Caenorhabditis elegans: one gene and its partners. The protein of the gene in region 1 purifies or fractionates together with the protein of each later gene. This does not show direct contact. Each region holds a gene or a part of one and is shown on either strand. Other genes may lie near its edges.

What was found.
Region 2: the proteins of drh-3 (region 1) and dcr-1 purify together in Caenorhabditis elegans (affinity purification with mass spectrometry; 3 studies listed by BioGRID, with this or other methods). This does not show direct contact.
Region 3: the proteins of drh-3 (region 1) and rrf-1 purify together in Caenorhabditis elegans (affinity purification with western blotting; 2 studies listed by BioGRID). This does not show direct contact.

What each region holds. Positions count from the first base shown.
Region 1 is NC_003279.8:7,819,083-7,826,843, forward strand, and holds drh-3 (Helicase ATP-binding domain-containing protein), read left to right. Parts: upstream 1-1,748; 5' UTR 1,749-1,760; coding exon 1,761-1,858; intron 1,859-1,917; coding exon 1,918-2,091; intron 2,092-2,344; coding exon 2,345-2,420; intron 2,421-2,467; coding exon 2,468-2,549; intron 2,550-2,594; coding exon 2,595-3,119; intron 3,120-3,306; coding exon 3,307-3,432; intron 3,433-3,478; coding exon 3,479-3,660; intron 3,661-3,741; coding exon 3,742-3,923; intron 3,924-4,120; coding exon 4,121-4,446; intron 4,447-4,882; coding exon 4,883-5,163; intron 5,164-5,206; coding exon 5,207-6,115; intron 6,116-6,554; coding exon 6,555-6,655; intron 6,656-6,711; coding exon 6,712-6,850; intron 6,851-6,897; coding exon 6,898-7,004; intron 7,005-7,106; coding exon 7,107-7,158; 3' UTR 7,159-7,296; downstream 7,297-7,761. Other genes in the region: D2005.4 (TPR_REGION domain-containing protein), read left to right, coding at 1-58, 118-123; D2005.7 (NAM-associated domain-containing protein), read left to right, coding at 497-686, 737-949, 1,091-1,155; glna-3 (Putative glutaminase 3), read right to left, coding at 7,409-7,761.
Region 2 is NC_003281.10:8,077,270-8,082,001, forward strand, and holds the start of dcr-1 (Death-promoting deoxyribonuclease), read right to left. Parts: upstream 3,013-4,732; 5' UTR 3,006-3,012; coding exon 2,955-3,005; intron 2,910-2,954; coding exon 2,747-2,909; intron 2,653-2,746; coding exon 2,519-2,652; intron 2,474-2,518; coding exon 2,314-2,473; intron 2,249-2,313; coding exon 2,109-2,248; intron 2,057-2,108; coding exon 1,685-2,056; intron 1,253-1,684; coding exon 1,070-1,252; intron 1,026-1,069; coding exon 897-1,025; intron 853-896; coding exon 610-852; intron 564-609; coding exon 409-563; intron 341-408; coding exon 1-340. Other genes in the region: apc-2 (Anaphase-promoting complex subunit 2), read left to right, coding at 3,383-3,435, 3,479-3,608, 3,743-3,875, 3,921-4,047, 4,091-4,334, 4,380-4,527, 4,577-4,694. UniProt on the Caenorhabditis elegans protein: Component of the ERI/DICER complex which is involved in processing amplified double-stranded RNA (dsRNA) intermediates during small-RNA-mediated gene-silencing or RNA interference (RNAi). Involved in cleaving dsRNA in the RNAi pathway.
Region 3 is NC_003279.8:7,643,766-7,651,597, reverse strand, and holds the start of rrf-1 (RNA-directed RNA polymerase), read left to right. Parts: upstream 1-1,820; 5' UTR 1,821-1,830; coding exon 1,831-1,938; intron 1,939-2,032; coding exon 2,033-2,191; intron 2,192-2,241; coding exon 2,242-2,562; intron 2,563-2,637; coding exon 2,638-2,760; intron 2,761-2,808; coding exon 2,809-2,952; intron 2,953-3,030; coding exon 3,031-3,210; intron 3,211-3,271; coding exon 3,272-3,538; intron 3,539-3,586; coding exon 3,587-4,129; intron 4,130-4,206; coding exon 4,207-4,386; intron 4,387-4,430; coding exon 4,431-4,793; intron 4,794-4,843; coding exon 4,844-4,955; intron 4,956-5,002; coding exon 5,003-5,460; intron 5,461-5,515; coding exon 5,516-5,717; intron 5,718-5,762; coding exon 5,763-6,034; intron 6,035-6,079; coding exon 6,080-6,259; intron 6,260-6,311; coding exon 6,312-6,447; intron 6,448-6,499; coding exon 6,500-7,026; intron 7,027-7,330; coding exon 7,331-7,580; intron 7,581-7,630; coding exon 7,631-7,750; intron 7,751-7,797; and 1 more. Other genes in the region: ego-1 (RNA-directed RNA polymerase), read left to right, coding at 1-293, 343-712, 765-931.

The sequences.
Region 1 (7,761 bases):
TGAGCCAGTAATCAATGAAATTTATCGGCTACGCGAAAAACACGGCTACTCGAACAAGGTAATTTATTTTTTTAGAAATGCCGTTAAATAATTCCAATAACTGAGTTTATTTTCCAGATGTAATCTTCGTGCAATACTTGTAACATATCACAAATGCATTCATCATCGTGATGAGTTCAACAGTTTTATTCAAAAATTTTGAAAATGCTCAAGTGACGAACTTTTTTTCTTTTTTTTTTTGTTAAGATTATTTCATTTCCCTTTAAAATTTTCTCTATAGAGCTATAGTATCGTTGTTCGTGTTTTCTAATAAACGCTTTAAAGTTTTGTTCTATAGGTTTTTATTGTTATCCAATATTGGTTTTAACCAGAAATATGCACTACATGTTATGACACTTTTCATATTAGTATTACTTTTTATTGTTTAACACGTTAACTTTACCGAGGTTTTGCAGCCCTACCCGTGTCCTATTTTATGCTGATATTCATCTTCCAGATGGGCAACAAAAAAAATAAATCAAGTGGGTCCCGAAAGAATCATTCTCAGCATTATTCTCAGCCAACAATGACCGTAGAGGAGTGCTTGAAGGAGTACGAGAACACAGGAAATTTCGCCAAGTTCTACCCGAATTACATTTTCCAACGGTTGCCAAAAGAGTTCCTCCAAAAATACTTAGCCTCTAAAAGTTCGTTTTACAAGAAAAGTTGACAAGTTTAACAACCTTCGCAATTTCAGAAAATAAAAATATTTCTAAAAATCCATCACTAAGTTGTTCAAACTCTACATTGGACAATATGAAAGAGACGTCGAAAAGTATCTATGTGGACGTGGATCCAGATGATCCTCTCTCCGATGAAGCATTCACTGCTCAACATCCTGTGGAAGAATGGTTTCGACTTCCTCTCGAATGGCGCATTGAGATCGAAAGGCAGCGTTTTGTGAAAAAAGGTATTTTATTCATGGCTAGAAAATTAATCCTACAAAAAACCGCTTAAAACTCGATTTTTGAGTAAAGAAAGAATTTAACAATTTTTCATATGGATAATTTATTAAATATCGAAAAAAAGCATTTCTCTTATTTTCTTTCAGAACGCGCCGACCGTGCTGCTGAAGCTGCCAGGAACTCCGCTGAACTTCTAAAGCCAGACGCTTAAAAGTGCATCAACGATTCGTTTTAACGTTGTAAAATGTTATTTTCGATGTTTTCTTTTCATCCAGTTATTCGTATTAATTTGCCATTCATCAGCTGAAATTCATCCCAACAACCTGCCGAAAGAATTTTATTTTCTGTTCTATCTTTCAAATTTCCTTTTCTTTTCTTCATTTTCTGTTGGCAGCTGCTCGTATTTCCATCACCGGTTCCCGTGAATTTGCAGTTTTAATGAAAGTTTTATTCTTGTTTTAAATATTATGATTTTATTTTCTCACAAGGTTGAAGAGCCAAAACATTTATTTATGTTGTAGAATTTAAATACTAATTTTATTGATTCCGCCGTTGCTCATCGTTAAATATTGAATACTGAAACCAAAACTTCCCTTCCTGACACTACTTGCCCTTCTTTAACACTAATAATGGTTTTCTGTTCATTCATGTATTTCCCTCTTAACTTTTTATCATTGGCAAGAGGAAGAGAAAATCATTAATGTGAAAACCTCTGCCACACTTGTTTATATTTTGTGCGCCAGTTTGAACAACATGTCTTTTTGTCGTTTTGTCGGCAAAATTTAATTTAATAATTTCCTACAGATATTTTCGATAATGCAACCAACTGCAATACGTTTAGAAGATTACGACAAATCGAAGCTTCGCCTTCCGTTTGAGTCTCCATATTTTCCAGCGTATTTTCGTCTTCTCAAGTAAGAAAATTATACATTTCCCCCCTTGCACTCGATCAAATAATTAAATATTATTTTAGATGGAAATTCCTTGATGTATGCGTGGAGAGTACACGAAACAACGATATCGGATATTTCAAACTATTTGAATCGCTGTTCCCGCCAGGAAAATTGGAAGAAATTGCCAGAATGATCATTGACGAGCCAACTCCAGTTTCTCATGACCCGGACATGATTAAAATCAGAAATGCCGAGTAAGACGACAGAGAAATCATGTATTAGAAAAACGTTCCAACGAAAACAATTTCTTCGGTGTTATCTATATCTGTGACGGCAAGGATGTCGAAACGGAGTTTTGAAAACATAAAATTGTTTTAATGACTTAAATTTTTATAAAAAGTTTAAATATCGTGAGTTTTCGAGTCACAGAAGCTTAAAAGGTCAAAAAAAAGTATTATGGTGTCTGGAATTTTCGTGCCATATTTTTTTTAAATACCAATTTTTCAGTCTCGACGTTAAAATCAGAAAACAGGCAGAAACATACGTTACATTGCGTCACGCACATCAGCAGAAAGTTCAAAGGGTAAAAACACTTTTGAAAAACATTTAATAAAATAATTTTTATTTCAGAGAAGATTCTCGGAATGTTTTTTGAACACTGTTTTGTTCGATGAGAAGGGACTCAGAATTGCTGACGAAGTGATGTTTAACTGTAAGTAATCGTGAAATTTCAAACGTTTTGAACTGTAAAATTCAGACGATAAAGAACTTTATGGATACTCACACTGGGAAGATCTTCCTGATGGCTGGTTAACTGCTGAGACTTTCAAAAATAAATTCTACGATGAAGAGGAAGTTACCAATAATCCATTTGGATATCAGAAGCTTGATAGAGTGGCTGGAGCTGCACGTGGAATGATTATTATGAAGCATCTGAAATCGAATCCACGTTGTGTTAGTGAAACTACAATTCTCGCTTTTGAAGTATTTAACAAAGGTAATCATCAACTATCAACTGATTTGGTCGAAGATTTGCTAACCGAAGGACCAGCGTTCGAGCTGAAAATCGAGAATGGAGAAGAGAAAAAATATGCTGTGAAGAAATGGAGTCTTCATAAGACTCTCACCATGTTTCTCGCAATCATCGGATTCAAATCGAATGACAAAAAAGAGAAAAATGAACACGAAGAGTGGTATTACGGATTTATTGATGCAATGAAGAATGATCCAGCTAATCGAGCGGCTCTCTACTTTTTGGATAAGAACTGGCCAGAAGAGCTTGGTAAGTTTTTTTTTGTTTGGAAATTAAATAGCGGCAAACATTTTGTACTTCAGATTTCAAAATACTGAAATTATTTTAATACAATTTTAAATAATGCCTAACTTTTTATTATTCGGCCATCTCATGCTATTTGATGTATTTTACGAATTTCGATTTACAATCTAGGCTTAACTAAATCAATTTTCAGAAGAACGAGAGAAAGAACGTGACCGTATCCGCCTTACCCTACTGAAAAGTCAGCGGACTAACGAGGAAGCTGTCGGCGAGGATGTTTGCACGACAATACGTCCACAACCGAAAGACAGCGGCTACAGTAAGATTATATTTCCAACATTTAGTGCAAATTTTCCTTTTTCCAGATCCAGATGCGGTGGTTACTGAACTTGTATTGCGTACTTATCAAGAAGAACTTGTCCAACCGGCTCTCGAAGGAAAGAATTGTGTTATTGTTGCTCCGACTGGTTCTGGTAAAACAGAAGTGGCAATTTATGCGGCTCTCAAACATATTGAAGAACGAACATCCCAAGGAAAGCCTTCCAGAGTATGTTTTTTTTTTAATTTTCTCGTCAAGTTCTAATATTATTTCCCCTTGATATAGAAGCAATAAAATTTTATTTTCCAGGTTGTGCTCCTTGTGCCGAAAATCCCGCTTGTCGGTCAACAAAAAGACAGATTCCTGAAGTATTGTAACGGAATGTACGAAGTTAATGGTTTTCATGGATCCGAGAGCAGTGTCAGTGGAACAGGACGTCGTGATGAAGTAATTGCTACTCATGTATCAGTTATGACTCCTCAAATTCTGATGTGAGTTAATGGAATCAGGTTCATTAAATTCTGAATCGAAAATTTCTGATATAACTCATTAATTTTTTATTTTACTTTTTTTTTTCAAAAAAAATTATAAATTATAAAAAGAGTGCAATTTTAATCAAGATATATAAAATGTTTAATTTTTTCGGATCGAGCTCTGGTTTTTATAATACCCGAACTAATTATTTCAGCAACATGCTTCAATCGGTACGTCAAAATGAGCGTTTGTATGTGAGTGATTTCTCAATGATGATCTTCGATGAAGTACATAAAGCTGCAAAAAATCATCCATATGTGTTGATTAATCAAATGGTTCAAGAATGGAAGTATGAAAAACCACAAATCATTGGTCTGACAGCTTCATTGAGTGTCAAAGTTGATGGACAAAAAGACGAGAATCAGATGCTTAATGATATTTATAATATGCTCGCATTGATCAACGCTCCACATTTGAGTACAATCACTCGCCAATCGAGCATAGATGAGCTCAATGAGCATGTTGGAAAACCAGATGATTGTAAGTTTGTTCTCAAGTTGGAAATTTAGTTTTTTTTTTCTTAAAAACCATAAATAAATTTTAAAATACAAATAAGATAAATTTCTAGGTGTATCAAATTATAAAAATATTTATTTTCAAGTTTACACAGTTCAAAAAAATTTGAAAATTGTAAATTGTTCTTGTAAAATGAAAAATGGTTTCTAAATGAAGTGTTGTAAACAGGAATTGAAAAAAAAAACCTTCGGAAGCTGAAAACCCACTTTAGAATCAAAACCACGGTATTGAAATTTCCTTTGTTTTCCCTTATTTCTCATGGTATTGTTTAACTTCAAGCTAATCCGGCAATTTCAAAGTAAATTCCTCATTTACTCTATTCCAAAAATAACCAATTACTTGTTTTCTCTTCGGAATATGAAATTTCATGAGAGAATTATTTCAAAAAAATTCTTCTCAGCTGTCGAACTATGCTTGCCTGCCAAAGAAAATATCCTTCGAGATTACATCGAACGATACCTTAACCACGCCCATGGCAAATTTCTCGAAGAATTAGCAAGCATGTCTAAATCAACTGGCCGCAACAACACTATCCCACCGAATATGATTAACACGTTTAAAAAGAATCAACCGAAGAATTATGAGTACTACGATTCATTACTTCAAGGTATTATTCAAGAGTTGAACAAATTGAATGTTCCTGAGAAATGGAATTCTCAAACTTGGGCGAAATACATGAAGGTTTGATTCATTTTCAAAGATTCTTGTAAATGAAATGATTTAGGTATATCTCGAAGCTCGCGGAATCGTTGATCTGATGCCTGCGATGGTTGCATTCAAATACATGGAAAAAGCTATTGGGAAATTGAATGAAAGTCATTCAGAGACAGTCGAATACAGCACCTTCATCAAAGACCATGATACTTTGAAACAAACAATTCAATCCGTTGAACCAGAAATTGTTCTACGTCTCAAGAATACACTCACCAATCAGTTCCACGTGGCTCCTGAATCTCGAGTTATTATTTTCGTAACACAAAGAAGCACCGCTCAACGTGTCAGTGATTTCTTGAACGAATCTAAAGTTTTAGATCAATTTGGTAATTATGGTGAACAAATGGTTGGATATGTTCTCGGAACAAACAAACAGGGCGCTGTACAGCAGACTTCACAAGAACAACAATTGACACTTGATAAATTCAACAATGGAAGACTTAAAGTAATTGTGGCAACGTCAGTTGTTGAAGAAGGTCTCGATGTTACTGCATGTAATCTTATTATCAAGTACAACTGTTCATCAGGATCAGCCATTCAACTTGTTCAACAAAGAGGTCGTGCACGTGCCAAAAACTCTCGTTCTGTGCTTTTATCAGTGAAGAGTAGTATCAATGAAACCGAGACTAACGCGTTAATCTCTGAAAAGTATATGAGACTTTGTGTGAAGAAGATCACAGAGAATGGCGAGAAACAATTGGCTGCAGAAGTGAAACGAGTCGCTGAACTAAATGCGGCTGAAAGGAAACGAAATCTGGAAGAGCAACTCAATTTGAGATTACGACATGAGAATAAGATTTATAAATTGATGTGCAGCAATTGTTCAAAAGAGTTCTGCAAGAGTATTTATATCAAAAAAGTGTTCTCGAATTACATGGTGTTCGATCCAAGTGTATGGAGATTTTTGCATGTTGAATCGGTACGTTTGATGAATGCTCAAAAACCGGAGCCGGCTTGTCGAAAATATAATTTTAATGAATTTTGTAAGATTATACTCGTAGACCAGGGCTGTAAAACCATTTTCCCAAAAAACCGAAACCTAAAATTTCTCAAAAAAAAAGACAATTAAAAAAATTTCTGTCACTAAAAAATCGTTTTAAAGTAAAAAAATCGCTTTATTCATCTGAAATTAACTTATTCAGGTTGAAACATTTATAAAGTGCTTAAAAATTACCTGGAAGTGTCGAATTGCCGATTATCAAATTGCTGAATTTCCGAACTTTGCTTTCCGACAATTGACTTTCAGGCTATTTTTGTGCAATTTCCAGATGTTTCAAGTAAATGTTTTTTTCAGCTAAGCCGACTTCTGTTTATCATAGAAACGCAATTTGTGATTGTGAAAAATTGAATTTTTTCAGAAGCGAAAGGTGAGTAAGTACTTGAGTGAGGACAATCAACCACTCAGTGATATCAAATGCTTCCATTGCAAGTTGGATGTTGGAAGAGCTTACAAAATAAGGTAATTGAAATTTAATTTATTTAAAAGTCGTTTCTTATAAAACAACATTTCTACAGAGGAACCTATTTGCCGCAACTCAGTGTCAAGGCGTTGACATTTGTTCAAGAATCAGACTATTCCTCGATGACAAAAGCAAAATGGTCGGATGTGGAACAGGATCTGTTTTATATTTCAGAAGCAATCGAGGATGACTTTGTAAGATTTTGGTCACTTGATTATTTAAAAATTGTACGAATTTACAGAGAATCATGTTGAATGCGCTCTCCGATACTGAAGAAAATATCGAAAAGAAGATTGTTCTTGATTTGGACTCACGACAACACAATAAGCAACTCGAGATGAAGAGATTGTAAGTGTGCTCTGGATTGTGATTCCTTTTCTGTTTAACACTTTCGAAGCTCAAAAAATACGGATAAACTCTCTATTATCATAATAATGCTTTCATTTTCAGCCATATTCAACAAGAACCACCAACGAAGGGAGTTGCACCAGAAGCTCAATGATCATCTCAAGGATTTCCAACTTGTACGAGAATTCAATTTTTCTTAATCTTTTTTGTTATTTTAATATCATTCATCGTGTTCTATTTACCGAGCAATTTTCATTCGATCTCTTGAATAATATAAAGCTCTATTTAGTTTTATTTTTTTAATTGATCTTTCAATTTTTCTTCCAACAATTTGACTGTAAATTAACAAATGACAAAAAATGGAATGATTTATTAATTTAAATCAATTTCTAGAACATCTATTCCTAATCATCTTGTCCTTTAAGATTGTAAACCGTAATTGCCTCTTCTAGCAGCTTAACACAAGCAGTATGATTAAAATGTTTAGCATCATCCAATGGAGTTCTATCATATCTATCACATGGATTCGGATCCTCTTGCCATTTACTCAATACGTATTCCAATGTGACAACGTCTCCTTCAGCAGCAGCCACGTGTAAAACTGTTCGATCATCATAATCTTTGCAATGAATATCATGTCCCATCAAAAGGAATCGTTTAATTGCAGCAATATCACCCAATTTTGTAGCATACATGAAACGATTCTGACCGTCATGATCATCTTTCAATTGACGACGAGGATCGATTTTCTTATTAT
Region 2 (4,732 bases), on another chromosome or scaffold:
TGATGATCCAACTTTAGCAGCAATTCCAGGTGCATACTCATCCGGCTCCTCATCAATATGTTCTAATAATTTGGCAATCGACTCTCTTCCTTTTGGAAGTAAATTATCATCGAGTTCTCCTTCTAAATGTAATTGTCGACATGCTTCAAGTGCAACTGCCATCTGTGCAGTCTTCTTATTTGGCATTGGATTTTTGAGCACAATTGCATGTTTGATCGGTGAGTTAATTGGAAGAAGAAGCTCTGCACAGTATTTGGTCACTCCATTCTCTTCAATTGGAATGATTTGATTGTGTGGAACAAGACGAGTGAAGATATCGGAAGGAAGCTTCGAACAATATCTGGAAGATTACCAATTGTTTGTATTTAGCTGTTGGATTAAACTTCTAAAGTGAAATTATTAATATACCTATTAATTAATGCGATAGCAGTTGACATTTTCAATGTTGCACCAGTTTTTTCAACAACATATGGTTCCATTTGAGAATCAACATCAAATTCTTCAAATCTATCCGAATCATCTTCAATAGGATTGTTGACTGTACGATGGCGGCTAAGAAGAATCTTAATATCATTTTTTAAACAATTGAACTGAAGATTCCAATATTACTTTTTCTATTTGCTGGAAATCTTTCAAATCACTATCACACGCCGCAGTATCTTTCTCCTCAACAGTGATAACATATCTTGATCCAGCTCGCCGAGCTCTTCCCTTTGACTGAACGTATGATCTCATGTCAAGTGGTCGATCAAATTTAATCACAAGATTACATTGTTTAACATCTACACCTTCTTCAAGCACTGATGTAGCGATAAGACAATTGATTTCATTTCGATGGAAACGGCGAAGAACCTAAAAATTATATTTAGACAATGATAATTTAAACATAAATTTACTTCAGTTTGTCGTTTATGTAATCCTTGACTATCCGAACTCGCCAAATTTCGTCCGCTGGCTCCAACGACGTAATCCGGGTTCACAAACTTGAACTTAGGCTCCCATGATTTAATATGACGCATCATAAGCTGAAAATTTACAATATATTACCGTAACATTCATATAAACCTACAAGTAACGAATATGCAATGTACCGTTGATCGACAAAAATAATGGCTGATAAATGTTCTGCTTTTTCTAACTTCATTCGTTCTTTTTGAAATTCGGGGTTGAAAGTTTCTAGGATTTCGAAAAGACGTATGACACGTTGAGGAACATATGGACGGAGAGCTTCAATACTTTTGATTTTCTTCATCTAAATTGGAAAAAATTGGTGTAATTAATAGTTGATTGCTTACACTGGAAGTTGGAAAATGCTAACTTGGAGTTCAATATAGAATAGTAATTTTAGATTAAAAGTGTTATTGAGGATCATTCCAAAAATTCAGCTGCGTCCGAGCAGTTTCACCCCTTTTGAAAAAACTTTCAACTTAAAAAAAGTGTTTCCAAATATTCGTAAATTGTTTTTAAAAAACATATAGCATTCAAGCTTCAGCCCATAATTCTCAAAAAGCCATGAATTGAGCTACAATCTTACAATTTGAAATCTTGCTCAAGATTTGTAGCTCTCTTGGTGAGTAGGGAGTTACGAACTTTTTCGAATGATAACACTTTTTTGTCGAAAAATTGCTATACCATAACGATACTTCGAGGTACCATTTTCCAACGTCTCTTGTTAGGTACGCACCTCCGGTTCCAACAATCTTTTAATCGTAATCATAGATGTTTTTGCCATATTCAAAAACCGCAACGTCTTATCCGGTAGCACTTGAGATTTTATAATTTTTCCCAACTCTTTCTCCCAAACTTGAGCCGTTCGCCATGCCGCCCAAGGTCCCAGTTGACGAAAAACAGCTCGCGTCGTCTTGAGAGAATCTTTAATCGGTCTACGAGGATCCAAATCTAGATCTGGATGAAATTCTGTTGTGGTGTTCACAAAGGCTACAGTTTCATCAAATATTTCTATAACTGTGTCGAAATTCGGAATACCCAGGCACCCAATTTCAAAGTCTTTGCAGATGATCACAACTTCATAGGGTTTCGCACCGTATTTCGAGAGCTAAATTAGTTTTATTGGAAACAAGTCTTTGTTTGTCTTTTTTAAATCATACCGAGACTAAATCACTAGCTGTCTCTATAACACTGTCCATCGCAGATTCCAACTTTTTTAACTGTTCCATTAGTTTTTCCGGCGCAACTTTCGCTTTGATAAGACTGGCTGTGAGTCCTAATACACGTGGGACGGGTTTGTCTGAAAAAATATTTCCGTATTTTGAAGCGAATTCGAAGTTTCACCATTAATTCCTCAATACTTACCCTTTTTCAATAACTTATAATCGACCATGATGCTTCTGTATGGATGTTGAGAACCGAGAGCATGATGACATTCGTCAAAGATCAGAACACACATGTCTTCAATTTTCAAGTACGCATGTCGAATCAAATCAAGAAGGCATTGAGCTGTGATCACAACAACCTGAAATATATATGCTCGATAGTTCAGCTTCGTATTCTCACTCACATGGTGCCTCTTCATGAACTGATCACATTGTTCTTTGCTGTCCCATAAACCACTACTTGTCTGTCCGTGGACCTGACCAACTTTGAAACTTGTGTGAACTTCGATGTGGATAGCTTGTTGTTCAACGAGGTTTACTGGAAAAAATGATGTTTTAGAATAAATCTTGTTTTTTTTTGTCAATTATTCACTTTACTGGCCAGCTGGCTTATTTTTAATAGACGAAATTACCTTTCTCTACAACAAAAAACGCTCGTTTTCCACCCTGATCCAATGGTGCAAACAATTGAACTCCATATTCTTTCAGCAGTAGAACTGCAATGAAAGTTTTTCCTGAACCAGTGCCTAGTTGGACGATTGTGTTCTTTTTTGTCGCTTTATCCAAAAGTTCCACCTGAAAATCGATTATTTTTAATTTATTTTGCTACTTAAAAATTACCTGGTAGTCCCTGGGGTTAAAACATTGTAAATCAGCTCTTACCCTGACCATTATTGGTCTGAAAACAGGGAAAATTGATAATGTTCAAAAATTACAATAAAAAATAATTGCCGCTGACTGCCCCGTAGTATGCGCTCTACTGAACCAATGTCTATGTCTCTTTCATGGGAACATTCAAAAGACGGAGGAAAAGTGGAATCGACAGAAATTTGAAAGAAAATACTCTGAAAAATCGTGTGAAAAAAAAGAAACAAACATTTTTTCGTATAATTTTTAAAGGAACATTTATTCGCGGTTTTTGTGGAAATGTAGTTTCCGAGACCCCAACCTTCGTTTTAAGCATGATCCTTTAATATATACAGTTTCTCACACATTTGTCATCGTTCTCTTCTCGTATCCTTGCTGAAATTATTTTAACCATTTCGAAAATGTCCATTTTTGACAGAATGACTACTTCGAAAGAGGCTGCGATGAAGTACAGGTATGGAATTTTTGAAAATGAGTTCCGTAAAGACAGTTTTCAGACAATTTTGCGTCTCAAAGAAAAAAGAAGTCTGGGATGCTCTGATATATCACGCAAAATACGCAAAAAATATTGAAAAAGTTTATGATATGACGACAGTTCTGCAACGAGTACAGCAAGAATGCCTGATGGTGAGTTTTAAAATTTTTAAATCCAATCAAGAACAAATTAGCCTTATTCTCAATTAAATGCTCTGAAAAATCTTCTCCTTATGGAAAACGGTCAGAAAATAGAGGTGTAACAAGCTAATGGAAAATAATTTCAGTTTGCATTGGAAAAAGGCGTTGGTCAACCGGATATTCGCGATGCTGCAGAGCTCATCTTCCCACTGGCCATGCAGAAAGTTGTTATCAAAGTTCTCAGACCTTATTTTATGTCGCACTTCACTAATTACAGACGTATTTTTTTTTCATTCAGCCCCAGTTTCCAATAACATTTTTCAGTTGCCATGTACCTTCCTCATCGAAAAATCGATCATGGAATCGATTTAAACCAAGAGCTGTGGACACCAGAAAAAAAAGAAATATGCGGGCAATATGTTCAAGATTTTAATCCTTTTGTCAATGAATTGTGGGTAAAGCCTGACTTCCTAAATTATATATAACATTTTCAGAAAAACTGGAATTCTCAATGCAAATCGTCACATGAACGCAGCACTTTCAGTGTATATTCGCGAGCTTGCTGCAACATTGGTGATGCACGAGAAAGCGGCTTTTGACAATGAGCTGAGATGTTCAATGTTTCAAGAAATTATGGAGAGTCTGAGGATTTGGTCAGATCAAGTAACAATGCAAGACGCATTCCATTTAATTAGTGACACTATTTACAAAGATGTCTTCCAAATGCTTTCCAAAAACGTGAGTTTTTAAAAAAATTTGGAACCTAAAAAATATTTTTTGTAGGCATATGAAATGATCGCCGTAGATTTTCCAGTAAAATTTCGCAGTCTCATCACAATGAAATATTGCCTTTTGAGAACTAATAATCATGGGAGAGTCGATTTCACAAATTACTTGATAGATCAAGTTAACACAAAACTTCTTGTTGCATGTAAGTTGGTGAGGGGAATTATTTAAAACTTAAATATTTAAAATTTCAGCGGTTGATACAAAAGACATTTTGAAAGCTTATGCGGCGTGCGTAGAATCTCTTCGTGAAATGGACAATAGTTGCGTGGTTATGCATAAAGTTTGTGGAGTTATCAGAGAATATTTGAAGTAAGCTATTTCCTGATTGTTTAATTATATTTAATTTT
Region 3 (7,832 bases), 180 kb from region 1:
AACGAGCTCATAGAATCATCAAAATGTACACAGAAACTTATCCAGGATTGGATGCAGTCTTATTCATGTTAGACGAATGGGCACGGATTTCAAATCTATTTGAAAATCAATCACTTCGAGAATATCATTTATCACTGCTATTTATCCTGTTTGCTACAAGGCAATTTTCTTCCGTTGATGGAAATGCTGCCAAGTTCTTCAATAAGGTCGATGAGAAAAGTTACAAGCAGAGTAAAACAATTGGAGACTTTGAGCCCAGTTTATATATTGAGGAAAAAGGAAAAAGTCAGATGGTGAGAAGAATATTTGTGTTATTTTTTTTATAATAATGACTGTTTTCAGATGGTGAAGTTTCTCGAATTTTTGGCCTCGCGAAAGTTCCGAAAAATGGCGAATCTCTCATTCTGTGCTCTTGATTTCTCATCAATTTTCATGCGAGGAGAATGGCAAATTTTCCATTTGGCCGCACTCAAAACCTACTACAACGTGTTATTCAATTTACGATTCGAAGAACTTCCTGTGTCAACTGATCCAACAACTACAGTTCGTTCAATAATTCGAGAAAACGAACCGTTCGTGATTGAATTACCAGCCAATTGTGATCGTTCATTGGTTCATCGCAAGCTGGTAGAGCATACTGGTGTAAAAGAGATATTCATGCGAAACATGGAGAAATCAGTTCGCTCTTCGGATGATGTGCAAAAAATCAATAGTGAGTTAACAAAATCGAATGGTAAACAGATTTAATTTTCAAATTATTATAGTGCGTCTTCTGGTTTCTACACGTGGAACTCTCGAGTCAATGTACAAGTTGCGTCAACTGGTTGCTGTAAAAGTTCCCATCAAAACGTACGTAACGGGACAAGATGTGTCTACACAGATGGCTCGATTGTGCTATGAAAAGATTGTCAGAGGACACATCAACATCTAGAATGTTTCTCTTATTCGTTTTTAGCAGTGTTTTCAGAGATTTTAAATGTTTAATATGGTTTTCATTTTAAATTTTATTTTTCTGTTTTTTTTTTGCATGTTTTAATTGGCATGCTTATTTCTGTTTCTTTTTCTCATTATATTTTCCTGTTGTTTCTTTTGCTGATTGATTGAAATGGATAGGTTTCTCCTTCTTTTCATCGTTTTCAGCGTTTCGGTTATCTGTTTCAATGAATTGTCTGTTTTATTACGAATCCGATATTTGTATTTTATTTGTTATATGCGTTTTTTCGTACATGATTTTCCTATTGGATAGAATATAGCCAGATTTCTTGAAAAATTGAAATGCTGTCGATTTTGTTTGAATTTTGGACCAAACTATCGAACTTTTTTCCTTCTCGACTGAAATCAACATTTTTGAAATGCAGTTGTTTTTGATCAGAAAAATTTTAAAACATTTTAAATATACAACTTTTTAAAGGTGCTCAATTTTCCGAGATGAAATTAAATTTCTTTATTATTAGAAAATAGTTTTAAATGAGTTTCCGTAAATAAAATTACGGAATAATAATCACGATACTTGCTCACTGTTGCATTGTCACCACAGTGTCTTTTTCAGCTGTCTGCGTCTCCGACGGGCAGCGTCTTTTTCAGTGAACCGATTTTTGCATTTCAGCGGGTTGTTAACTTTCAAAAAATGTTTTTGTAAATTTCAAAGTGAAGGTTAATGAGAACCTAATTTATAGTTATTTTTAGTTGTATAACAGTAAAAATTTAAATATCCAATTGATCGATGGCAAATTTAAAAAATCTTTATTTTTGTTTGTCTTCCATAAAACCTTGTTTTTCGTGCGTTGGCCATTAAAATTTATCTGTATAAAATTTTTCAGACTCCTCGTCATGTCGGAACGAAGTCATGGATTCATTAAATTTGAATTTCCGGAATTCGATAACTCGCTTCAAGTCATCGAAGGAAGTATCGATACAATGTTACTGACATTTACTTCAGTGCGTCATGGTTTTGAGAATTTTAATTCATTTTTTGGACATTTTTCGATTAAAAAAATGACGCTTGTTTTAATAATTATTATGATATTTCTAGGTTCTTCGTAAATACGAAATCGAAATCAAATCCCGTCAAGAAACTCAAATTGTTGAAGAACAGGACTGCGATTGCTTCTTTGAAATAAACTTTGAAGTTGAGAGCGAACAGTTTGATCACACAATTATAGATGCTATGCACGATTATTTATCAGATTTGGTGAGTACTTGAATTCATATTGGACGATTTCGAATTAATTTTATTTTCAGAATGTGTACGTTCCGTATCAGCGGCCTAACATTGTCCTTCATGGTTCCGATTTTTGGTTGAGAACTCTCGATTGTCACACAGAGATTCCACTTGCTGCGATTTATTTTGGAAATATACAAGGAGGCACATATTTCAATCATTGGCAGGTTTCATTTTCACGCGAAAACATATCGTCAAGAGATATGTTGCATAAGATACACGCCGAATTTGAATTCGATAAAACTGATATGATAACAGTACAATTTCAATGTTTCGAGGAGAAGAAACAGAAGTTTGAGGATTCGAGGAAACAAAAAGTTCGAGTGAACTATCAATTAACAGTAAGTGTTTAGCTGTAGCTATCAAATCCAATACTGGGAGAATTTCTTAAAATTTAATTAAATTCAAAAATTCAGATTCGAAGGGATTCAATTCGTCGAATTATTGTCGATCCACGAGTTGAAGGATGCAACACATGTGTTCATTTTGAAGTTAATTGTCCCCCACTCATCAGGAAAGGATATATTGATAATGATAAGGTAATTTAATATTGATCACAGATTTTTATAACAATTCTAATTGTTTAGTCATCGTTTCATAAACCCTTCTATGAGCGTCAGAAACGGTTCGATTGTGATTGGAGAAATGGAAATGTTAATCATGGTAATCCACAAGATGCTGCCATCGCAGATAGTCCTTTCTTCACAATTGAGTTCCATAAAGAAATATCAGTGAGCTATTTTCTACTGTTTTATGATAGATTTTGATGATTAAGCATCGTTTTTTATTATTATTATTCTCTAATTCAGACAAAAGAAATGTATCGTGTGTTGTCTCGTCTGAGGTCTCGAACCAAAGTTCTGATTGAATTTGCGAATCTTCCGAGCATTGATGTTCCGATGGGCAGTCACTATCCATACAACCGGTGGAATTTGAAGAAATCGCCGACCGACTCAAATGCGCCCATTTTTAGAGAGTTTCTGAAAGAGGTGAGTTAGTCTTTAAAAAAACAAAGAATTGCCTCAATAATCTGAGTATCAATTTTTGCAGATATTCCCACCGAAATATGAAATAGTAGATGATAAATTGATTGATGTTAATGAGGAACGGAAGTTTTCTATCACATATTTGATTGAATGTCTGTTGTCACGGGGAGCTATTGTGAAAGATCAACTACTACTGAATGAGCAACATTGGAAAAATTTCCTGGAAATTATCATTTGGTACTACAGGAATGATAATCAACTGTGTGAAGCTGCCTTGGAAGATCTCGTTCATTTAATTGATGGTAGAAAGCGAATCGGATCAATTTTGAAGGTTGTGTTTTTTGCATATTTTTTGATAATTTTTTTAAAAATTTTTCAGTGCCTAGATAAAATTTGCCAAAAACGTGAGGTTATGAAACTGGTTAATGGTTTAACAGAAAAGGAGAGCATAGAAGGATATCAACGAGTTCGAAAAGTTATCTTCACACCTACGAGAGTCATCTACATTGCACCAGAGACGATCATGGGAAATCGAGTTCTACGGAAATTCGATAAAGATGGCACCCGGGTGCTTAGAGTAACATTTCGAGATGATAATAATAAGAAAATGAGATCAAATGTTACGGGTAAACTTCTCGACAGGACGGCGAACAAGTATTTGGAGCACGGAGTTCGAATTGCAAATCGTGAATATGGTTTCTTGGGATGCTCAAATTCACAAATGAGAGACAATGGAGCATATTTCATGATGAGATTCACAGACAAGCAGCTTGATCGCTTCTACAAATGTAATCCGACAGCATCGAATATAAACTTCAAGCCGAAAATCGACGAAGTTCGATTTCAATTAGGAAGATTCTCGGAAATTGAAAATGTTCCTAAGTTGATGGCGAGATTGGGTCAATGCTTCACTCAGAGCAGGGTATGTTTTTAATTTTTATTCAGTTTCATGGATTTTTTAGTGATAACTTTCCATCATAATACAAGTATGAATTTCAGCTAACCGGTGTCGGACTTGGACGAGATGATTACTGTAGCACGTACGATTTGACTGGTGGACGAGCGACAAACGGAAGCGAGTATACATTTTCTGACGGAGTTGGAATGATGAGCTATCAATTTGCACAGGAAGTATCCCAAGCGATGCAATTTGGAAAAGCTGTTCCTAGCTGCTTCCAGGTAAATTAATTTCGTGTGAACTTAGGTAACTATAGTTTTTGCAGATTCGATTCCGCGGAAATAAAGGAGTCATCGCTATTGAACCCTTTCTGGATGAAATTCGTAAATGGGCACTTGTGAACGGTGTTACTTCGATGAAAATGGCGAAATGTTTGTTCCGTCCAAGTCAAATTAAATTCCAAGCTAAGGCTATTTCGGGAGACCAAATCGAAATGGTAAAGTTCTCGTCAGCGGTATTGGTTGCTCTCAATAAACCATTCATCAATATTCTTGATCAAGTTTCCGAAATGCAATCGTTGGATTGTCATAAAAGAATTACGAGCAGAATTGAGGAATTGATGGATCGTCAGATCTTGTCATTTGCCAAACAGATGAATGAGGAGACCTTTTGTAGAAACAAATTAAAGGTTTGTCTGAAACATGAAATAATGAAACTTTTTATTTGGAACTCTTTCAGGAGTTTCCACGTCGTATTGATATTGATAACTTGAGAACAATGTGGGGATTTACATTGTCTAGTGAGCCATTCTTCCGTTCCCTAATCAAGGCATCCATCAAGTTCTCAATCAGTGAGTTTTCCGAATTGTTTTCAATTTCTCAATTTTATTATTTTCAGCGAAACAGCTTTGCAAAGAGCAAATTCAAATTCCCAGTGAACTTGGTCGATCTATGCTCGGAGTAGTTGATGAAACTGGACGTTTACAATACGGACAAATCTTCGTTCAATACACGAAAAATTACAAGAAAAAACTTCCACCGCGAGATTCCAACAATAAAGTTCATGGAAGTGAGATTGTCACAGGAACCGTTTTGCTCACTAAAAACCCTTGTATTGTCCCCGGAGATGTTCGGATTTTCGAGGCTGTCGATATTCCAGAACTTCATCACATGTGTGATGTAGTAGTATTCCCACAACATGGACCGAGGCCTCATCCTGATGAAATGGCTGGATCCGATTTGGATGGAGATGAATATTCTGTTATTTGGGATCAGGAATTACTTCTTGAAAGAAATGAAGAACCTTTCGATTTTGCTGTTGAAAAGATTAAAGTACCATATGATAGAGAGAAGCTTGTTAGTTTTTTTTTGTTCATTTTTTTTTTAAACTTTGGTGTAATATCAAATTTAGGACGTCTTGATGCGTGAGTTTTATGTCACATATCTGAAATTAGACTCCGTTGGACAAATCTCGAACAGTCATCTTCACAATTCTGACCAATATGGGCTGAATTCGAGAGTTTGTATGGATTTGGCAAAGAAGAATTGCCAAGCTGTTGATTTCACAAAGTCTGGACAACCACCAGATCCATTGGAAACGAAATGGAGGGCCGGTACGTATGCGTATTCATGAATATGGTGTAACTACCTATTTTCAGATCCCGTAACATTCGAAGTTATCCCTCCTGAAAATCCTGAGCGAATTCCTGACTTTCATATGGGAAATGAACGAAGTCCGATGTATGTCAGTCCAAGGCTTTGTGGAAAACTATTCCGAGAGTTTCAAGCAATTGACAATGTTATCAAGATCTCTGAAGAAAGGGATGAACAATATAATATTGAACTGGATGAGACTATCTTTGTTACTGGTTTTGAGAGATATATGGAAAGTGCTCAAAAACAATTATCCAGTTACAACGGACAACTCAGGGTTAGTTTGAAGGCTGAGTAAAGTTTAAATACCCAAATTTTACAGTCTATTATGGAAAACTACGGTATCCGGTCGGAAGGTGAAATCATGTCAGGATGCATTGTCGAAATGAGAAATCGAATTTCGGATAAAGACCAAGATGATATGTCATTCTACAACACTAATCAAATGATTGAAACAAAAATGACATCTTTAGTGTGCAAATTCAGAGAAACGTTCTTCGAGGTACAGTTTATTTCAATATTTATTTATTTTTTAATTTCTATGCCATTATCAGGAATTTGGTGGATTCACAGTAAAATGTACACTTTTACCAAATGCTTACGATAACGGCAACTGTCTCAATTACCGTTGCGAAGATCCAGATCAGGAGGTCAGAAAGAAAGCTGTTGCCTGGTATCGAGCTTGTTACGGTAATTCAATTTTTTTGTTTCAATTTTTTGAACTATTGTAATTTCTTTGTAGAGTGTGCTCAATCCACGAGAGAAGTTCGGAAGCTTTCATTTGCTTGGATTGCATATGACGTCATTGCCAAAGTCAAGGAGACTAATGTATTGAATAACGAAAGAATGCAGATTGGTGGAGCAAATCCCATGTACACTTTCCTAGAAGAGCATCGAAAACAATATTTGATTGATCACGATGCGGATTTCAAGAACTTCTGTGAACTCGATCATCTAATTACCGGTGAAAAATCAAAAGAAGCGATTTCCATTCTGAAAATATATCTGGAGATGATACCAGGGTTGGACTCTGTGTTCTTCATGTTAATGCGATGGGGAGAATCATTACGATTGTTTGATGGAAAACCAATCAAGATTTATCACTTTTTCCTCATGTTCATTCTTTTTGCAACACGACAATTGGCATCTGCTGATGGAAATGCAGAACCGTTTTTCAAAATAATTGAAAAAGAAGAATATGAGAAACAGAAAAGAGATTCATCGAGAGGCAATATCGATCCACTTACTGAAAAAAAAAGATCAGATATGGTAAGGAATAAGGGGGTCATCGAACATCGTCGATTTTTCGATTTCTTCGAAAAAGTATGAAAAAAGAAGAGAAACCTTTGAATTTTGTCTATAAACATCTATATTTTGATAACAAAAATAAAAAATTCATTGAAATATATAGAGAAATTATAGGAAATTGTAGAAAAGTTGAAATTTTACCGAATATAAAACAAAAAAAACTTGAATTTTCGATTCATCAAAGTTGACATAAGTCCATTCAGCTGTATGATTTGTAGTCCAACATTGGCGAGAAATTCAAAGCCGAATTGTGTATTTTTTTCAGATGGTCAAATTCTTCCAATTTATGGGATGTCGGAAGTTCAGAAAAATGTCGACTTTATCCTTTTGTCCTCTCAACTTCTCATCGATTTTTATGCGTGGAGAATGGCGAATATTCCATGAATCAGCTCTCAAAACCTACTACAATATTCTGTTTAATCTACGTTTTGAAGAGCTTCCAGTATCATCTGATCCAACAATTACAGCTGAGACGATGGATCGAGAGTGTGAACCATTTGTTATCGAGTTACCCGGTATGTAAAATCTTTTGGAAATAAAAAAAATTGAGTTTTTTTTCATTTAGAAAATATAAATGTGAATGATCTGATCAATAATATGAAGAAACACACAAATGTTTCAACTGTAAAGATGCGGCGACAGGAGAAAAATCCGATAAACGATAAGGCGAAACCAAAGACTACAGGTAATTAAAAACTCTTCATATTGGTAGCATAAAATAATTGTTTTCAGTTCGTTACATCGTCTCCGTCTCCGGAACTCTCGAA